Linked DNA regions of Danio rerio. The protein of the gene in region 2 binds, or shares a complex with, the protein of the main gene of each other region. Links are inferred from orthologs where the notes say so. Each region holds a gene or a part of one and is shown on either strand. Other genes may lie near its edges.

Region 1 (4,593 bases), on a different chromosome or scaffold from region 2:
TAGATATATACTTGTAAAATAACCCCATTGTGAAACATTTGCATAATTAAATATTCATTCCTCTGAATGTGAACAGAAATTTATATAATCTTTTATATTATTTATTATATATATATATATATATATATATATATATATATGTGTGTGTGTGTGTGTGTTTATTTTTAAATACATGATTATGTTATAATACAATATTGCACATTATTATATACAATTACTACATTTAAATAACTGTTACAAATTATTTATAATAATATACACTTATATTAATGTCTTTTTTCGTCATTTTTACGATACTGCAATGAGCTTTTCTTTGTGGGAAATAAGCTAAATCGTCATGAATGCAATAAAACAAAATGGGCTTTAAATGCTTTTCAATTTCTTCATGTAATACGGAAATTTCTTTTGACTTTTGGGTGATAAAATAGGCATTTTGGAGATGGACCTAATCTTACTTTTACTGTTAATTTATTACTTTTTTTGTTTTTGACTGAGAATTATCCAGAAAATGGATACTTACCAATATTTTCCCCTTTATACAAGTTTTTAAAAAATTTAAAATCTTGATTTATCACTTTTTGTTTTATTATTTCAACACCCGTAAAAAACAAAACAAACAAAAAACAAATATGCATTCAGTCTTTTTCAAGATTAAAAAAGCAGGTAATATTGCTGCTTATAGATGCCTGCAGATTTCCTAGGGAAAGTTTTCAACTGGATCAAAATGAAATTTTCTGTCCATCAATGCACCACAGAATTGAGTGGTTCTGCTCTTATGTTTCCAAGATCCAGCGCAGAATCGGTTTCTTCATCAATCTCACCGATCACAGCCCTTAAACACAAAATAATTTCCCATTTATGTCAACCAAATAAAAGAAAAAAATCATAAACCTTGCACTGTTCTGCACAACATAAACATAATTACAAGAAAGGAGTTTAATACTCACACATTATCTCCTCTGACAATATACAGTCCCAGAACCACCTGCTCGACCCCCTGTGAAGAGCTGAAGACCCGCTCGTGGCTTTCATCCAGGATGAGGTTGATTGCCTGATCAAAGCCTTTTAGCGTCCCCTAAAAACAGCACAAGTCAGTAAGCGATCTTCTTCATTTCTGCACACAGACAATGATTAATTGGTAAGTTCACCAAAAAACACAGATTTTAATATTAATTTATTCACACTCAGGCTATTCACAATCTAGGGGACTTTTCTCCTCAGTTAAACATAAAAGACATTTAAACAAAACAAAAATACAAATGAAAAATATGTGTCGGAGCTGTGAGTTACAAGTGATAATGTTTAGATTTTCCTAATACAGTCAAACACTCCCAAAGTGTCTTTGACTTGCACTTTATTAAACACAAAGGTGGATAACTCCCTTTAAAGTACACGAGGAAGACTCACCACGATCATTCTGCCATCCGAAGTGACAATAGCAACAGTCCCTTGAAAAAAATCACAGTCAAGGAAATTTCAAGCTCATTTTATGTATGCATGGTCACTCACTGCGTTTATTTGTTCTCTGGATTTGTGTTTATATAGTACACATAATGTGTGTTCAAAATCTCTATTAAGTATTTTATTCATTGACTGATTCATATTCTCTATCTATCTATCTATCTATCTATCTATCTATCTATCTATCTATCTATCTATCTATCTATCTATCTATCTATCTATCTATCTATCTACATGAATACAAATGGTCATGGTCAAGAAATTAAAACTTTTCTAGATTGTTTTACATATATAGATTATATTTATATACAGATTAACATGAATACGAACAATCAAATATACTTATTTTTTACGAAATATTTAAGAAATGAAAATGTTTCTAGATTGTTTTACATTTCTAAATTATATTTATTTATAGATTAACATGAATAAAAACAGTCAAATATGCTTACTTTTAACCAAAAATTAAGAAAAGTTTTCTAGATTGTTTTACATATATGTATTTTATCTATAGATTAACAAATTCAAACAGTCAAATAAACTTATTTTTACCGCAATTTTAAGAAATTAAAACGTTTCTAGGTTGTTTTACATAGATTATATTTATATATAGATTAACATAAATACAAAGGGTCATATATAATTACTTTTAACTAAAATTGAACAAATGAAAACTTTTTTTAGATTGTTGGATTGCATCTATATGTAGACTAACATAAATGCAAATGGTCAAATATACTTAATTTTATGCAAAATTTAAGAAATAAAAACTTTTCTACATTGTTTTACATATATGGATTACATCTATAAATAGATTAACATAAATAAAAATAATCAAATATACTTATTTTTACGAAATATTTCAGAAATTAAAACCTTTGTAGATTGTTTTGCATTTATAAATTAGATTATATGTATTTATAGATTAACATGAATGCAAACGGTCAAATATACTTATATCCAAAATGTAAATTTTTTTTTTTACTTTTCTAGATTGTTTTACATACATAAATTATATCTATATAGATTAACATGAATACAAACAGTCAAATATACTTATTTCTACCCGATATGCAAGATGTGAACACATTAATATGTAATATTTACAGTAAATAGTAATATTCCAGTTATATGATATGTCTTAATTAAATATTTGAAGACTCGTTTTCATTGGTCCAGAAAAAAAAACTCAAATATTTGACAAAAAACAGGCATCTATGAAGTTAATATCACATCCAGATAACCGATAATCATCTTGAACTGATCTATTTTGCTCAAGAAATGTATGTGCGTACATTAATATGCTATAACGTGAATTATAACGACGTATGATCATCAAAAGCTAATTCACTTGCTGGCGCGCCATATATATAAAGTTAGACATTTCACGCTCAAACACACACAATCAACAACAAAACACGGGGTATCGATCAACAACATCACCGCCGTGCTGTTCACGATGCGTATTAAAGGATACGGTGAATGTAACTCTCGAGAGCGGTGGACATCTTTTCTGCTGGTGCGTGTTTTTAAATCCTCCGGTGCTCGTTCGCTAGCTCCTACAACGAAAAGCATTCGTTCTTGAGCCGGAAGCGATAACGGAGAGACTCGAGTAGGCGATGACCGATTGAGCACAACTTCAGGCAGAACTAATGGAGTTGGAGCAACGAAAGCTGTCATGAGTGAATTAGTATTTATTTAATAAGCTTTAAATAACTAGTACGCGACAATAGAACACACATTTTAATGCCAGGGATGATAGAAGATAAATATAGTAAGAGTACAAATAATTAAACATTAATTAAGAAGCAAAACAAACACACGTACATAAAAATAAGCGTATAAATAATTAAATAGATTTCTTACAATTACACACGTTTACATCAATCAAAACTGTTAAAAATAGACCACAAATGGACAGTGCTAATGAAGTTAATTTTATAGTTTAAACAAATTAATGTGAAGTTTAGCCGTCGTGAGGGAGTGATGCGGTATTTGTCCAGCAGATGACGCGCTCTGGAGATTTCTGGTTTCTAAGGAAGAGAGCACAATACTGTTTCTAACGAGTAACTTTAGAGATTATAATCAGTTCTTGCTGAAAAGGCTAACTGTTTGAGGGTCAAAGTGGGGGTCGATGGAAACACTGGTGGTAATGATGACGACGGCACTTACACAAAAGTACAATCAATGGTTGTGGGATGATTTCAGACGCTAATTGTAATTGTACATCGCCATTATGGGAATTAATGCTGATTGAACTATATAAAAGTGCTGTAGTGGTTAAAAATAGTTGTTATACGGTGTTTTGCTACACACTAGCATGGAAAAAATAATTAAAACTTGTTAATATTCGTAAGGTACTGAATGTTTAATAAATTTGATGGAATTGTATGGTGGTTCTGGAATTACGTTGCTATTACATCAGAATCAGGGACTGACCTAACCAATGATGTAATGTAATGTGTATTTATATTATAGATCTTACACCAAAAGCGGTTCACAATCATGAGGGGGGTCTCTCCACACCACCACCAGTGTGCAGCATCACTTGATGATGCGACGGCAGCCACAGGACCACAGTGCCAGTGCGGACACCACACACCAGGTATTGGTGGAGAGACAGTGATAGAGCCAATTCGGTGGATGGGGATGATTGGGAGGCCAGGCCATGATGGGTAAGGGCCAATGGAGGGAATATGGCCAGGACACTAGGGTTACACCCCTACTCTTTACGAGAAGTGCCATGGGATTTTTATTGACCACAGAGAATCAAGACCTGGGTTTAACTTCTCATCTGAAAGATGAAGCAAGCAACCGCTTAGGACCCCAAGAAATTTGGGGGCCCTCAATAATTGCCCACACTGTAAAACGTTTCACATTGGTTAAACTTACAAACTCAAGTTCAGCAGCTGCCTTGAAAATGTGAGGCAACAACTTAGAGAGATTCTTTGTTTCAATGTAAGATGTTGAGTTTTAGTTAAATATATTGTAAAACTCAACATCTTAAGAATCTCTCCAAGTTGAGTTGACTCACATTTTCAAGGCAGCTGCTGAACTTGAGTTTGTAAGTTTAACCAAGTGAAACGTTTTTACAGAAGCGTAAATCATATTTTGAATGGTGATGGTGTAATA
Region 2 (3,272 bases):
CTGTCTAGAAAGTAAAATAAAAATTCTCAAAAAAAAAAAATTCTTTCATTATTCAGGCATTAAGCAAACGTAAATCATTTAGGTAATCCTAACGAACCTAAAATAGTAAACTAGTATGATTTTACACTAGACATTTAAAAAATGGTTTTGTTCCTTTTTTTTTTTTTTAGAGTGTATGTACACTTCAACTGTATAGCCACAGGCATATCAGCCTGCAGCCCAAGGCCGGTTACTCACTGAAACTAAGCAGAGCTGAGCCTGGTCAGTAATTGGATGGGAGACCTCATGGGAAAACTAGGTTACTGTTGTAGTTGTGTTAGTGTGATCAGCAGTGGGCGCTTAACCTGTGGTCTGTGTGTGTCCTAATGCCCCAGTATAGTGAAGGGAATACTATACTGTCAGTGGGCGCCGTCTTTCGGATGAGACATTCTCTGACTCTCTGTAGTGATTAAAAATCCCATGGCACTTCTTGTAAGGAGAAGAGGTGTAACCCTGATGTCCTAGCCAATTTCCCTCCATTGGCCTTTACCTATCATAGGCTCCCAAAAATCCCCATCTACCGAATTGGCTCTATCACTGTCTCTCCACTCCACTCCACCAATAGCTAGTGTGTGGTGAGCACACTGGCACCGTTGTCCTGTGGCTGCCGTCGCATCATCCAAGTAGATGCTGCACACTGGTGGTGGAGTGGAAAGACCCCCTTTAAGACTGTGAAGTGCTTTGGTTGCATGGCTATTCGCGATAAATGTGCTACATAAATACACATAACATTACGTCGCACGATAACATTGTCCACTTTTCTGTCTATGGAGGACGAGGGCGCTCTCAGATTTAGGATTTAGATTTTGGGTTCTGAAGATGAACAAATGTCTCATGTTTAAGGAAATGAGGGAGAGTAATTAAACACAGAATTGTCATTTTTAGGAGCCCATAATAAAAGGAGGATCTGTTTTATATCTACTGTTAGTTTATGACACCTTGTTGTTTTCCAGGCTTTTTGTCTTGTTGCTGTCCACGGCCAGATCCCTGCATGCCTCTGCCACGGCCACCAAAAACACCTGTCAAATAGAATGGGAATTTCTTTTTTTAATCTGTGTGTGTGTGTGTGTGTGTGTGTGTGTGTGTGTGTGTGTGCGCGCGTGTGTGTGTGTGCGTGTGTGGAGAGTTAAAATTGTCAGGGCAAGTGGAAAAAACTTTAAAGGGTCACGAAACACCAAAACACATTTTTTGAGCTGTTGACAGTGGTATATGTGTCCCACACTGCTAAAAACACTATTAGGACACCTATATTTCACTAAAAAATGTAAATTGGTTGTTTTTGCGTTATTTCAAGCAAATTCGTACTTCCTGTTTGAAACGAATTTTTGAAGCTGCGTCACGGCCATGACATAATAGCGTGTATTCCAGCGTGCAGACTGGGCGTCTGTGATAGAGTGTGTCTTATTACGTCTTACAGTGTGATGCATTAATGCATGAGCAAAGCTTGGTTCAAACCAATCAGCGCGCCCTATTGTGCAACTTCATTAATATTCATTACTATCACAGTGTTTTCAGGACAGAGACGCCACGTTGTGTTGGCAAAACAAGCGTGAAGTGTTTCTTTTATAGTTTGCTGCCATTAAGTTTCGTTTTCCTTTTCTCTCCCCTTAGTGTACGCAACGCTTGACAACAATAACTTACGTGTCTAAGGCGGATTATTGTTTACCTGAGAGCTGTTCTCATCTGCAAATGCTGAAATCCGGATTCGCTTGTAACGTTAGTATTCTCTTCATAATGACGCGGCTCTAGTTGCTGGTGATTGTCCTGTCTCTACAGATTTGGTAAGTGAGCGACCAGTGCTCTTTGTTTATTCAGTTTGTTCGTATCGAATTAAGTTAACTATTGCACTGAGTGCAAACATAGCACCGCATTTTGTGACCGGAATAACACACGTGGCTTTCTGACGCTACCTGCCGTGTGTATCTAAGTTTCTGGGAAATGCGGAGGGTTTTTTTCTCTCATTCGTCGTGCGGTATCAAACGTTGCATGAAAAATACACGCTTACAGCAGTTCCTCGAATCAAATATCACGTTTGTCGCGAGGGGCATGAATGAATTCCCTGAATGAAAGAGCCAAACTGCAGTTAAAGTCACCCATTTAATAATTTGGCAAATAATTCGACTACAGATGTCCATGTAGGTTAAACACCATCACTTTCTCATGTGTGTGTATTTTGACTGAAACTCGCGCGTGCCCAAATAGACACTCCCACACCATCCCACTTTAGTTCCTCCGACACTCCCCCCTAAACAGAGCTGGACACGCCCACTTTTCTGGCTTTTTCCAAAGTAGAGGTGAGAAAACCCTGCTGAAACGAGGTGGTTTCATGGCCCTTTAAGCCCAAAACTGCGTGTACACATTTAAAAAAATATACCAATGAGAGTAAAACTGTCAGCCCTCCTGTGAATTATTTATCCTTTTTCAAAGATTTCTCAAGTGACATTTAATGAAGCAAATCAATTTTCACAGTATGTCTGATAATATTTTTTTCTAGAGAAAGTCTGTTTTATTTCAGCTAGAATGAAAGCAGTTTTTTACCATTTTATTTTCATTATTTATTATCATATTATTAGCCCCCTTAAGCAATTAATTACCATTAATTACCCTAATCTGCCTAGTTCACCTAATCAAGCCTTTAAATGGCAGTTTAAGCTGATCACTAGCATCCTGAAAAAGATCTAATCAAATAATATTTACTGTCATCATGGCAAAGATAAAAGAAATGAGTTATTAGAAATGAGTTATTAAAACTATTGTTTAGAAATGTCCTGAAAAAAATCTCTCAGTAAACAGAACTTGGGGGAAAAGGAGGGCTATATATGTCTGGAATGATTATATGATATGATCTATTGTATGAATATAAAAGCATCAGACCTCTGCCAGGTCCGCCACCTCTTCCAGGTCCACCTCCTCTGCCCTTTCCTTGTGGCTTATTCTGCTGCATGCCACCCCGGCCACGGCCCTTTGACACCACTTCCTCTTTCACCATATCTATAATTTCATCAGGGATTCGCAAGTATTTAATGGTGCTTCCTCTTATGTAGCATTCTGGCATCCTCCAAAACTTATCTCCATCCTGCAAATCAGAGCAAGCAGAAAAAACAGCCGTCACATTTCAGCAAGACAAATAAATAACCTGCAGATTTGTTTAAATAAAACAAACAAGTGTTTTGCTTAATTTTGTAAGGAATCAATAGTCTCCCAAAGACGTTTTCATCTGAATGAAGTCGTAT

What was found.
Region 1: lsm4 (region 2) and lsm8 share a complex: the UniProt entries of both Homo sapiens proteins name them as parts of the precatalytic spliceosome. The link is inferred for Danio rerio from reciprocal best matches to the Homo sapiens genes LSM4 and LSM8.

What each region holds. Positions count from the first base shown.
Region 1 is NC_133179.1:10,099,499-10,104,091, reverse strand, and holds lsm8 (LSM8 homolog, U6 small nuclear RNA associated), read right to left. Parts: upstream 3,130-4,593; 5' UTR 2,970-3,129; coding exon 2,939-2,969; intron 1,449-2,938; coding exon 1,408-1,448; intron 1,076-1,407; coding exon 948-1,075; intron 833-947; coding exon 742-832; 3' UTR 567-741; downstream 1-566. UniProt on the Homo sapiens protein: Plays a role in pre-mRNA splicing as component of the U4/U6-U5 tri-snRNP complex that is involved in spliceosome assembly, and as component of the precatalytic spliceosome (spliceosome B complex).
Region 2 is NC_133186.1:6,962,521-6,965,792, forward strand, and holds part of lsm4 (U6 snRNA-associated Sm-like protein LSm4), read right to left. Parts: intron 3,116-3,272; coding exon 2,914-3,115; intron 1,059-2,913; coding exon 978-1,058; exon of another isoform or gene 1-977. UniProt on the Homo sapiens protein: Plays a role in pre-mRNA splicing as component of the U4/U6-U5 tri-snRNP complex that is involved in spliceosome assembly, and as component of the precatalytic spliceosome (spliceosome B complex).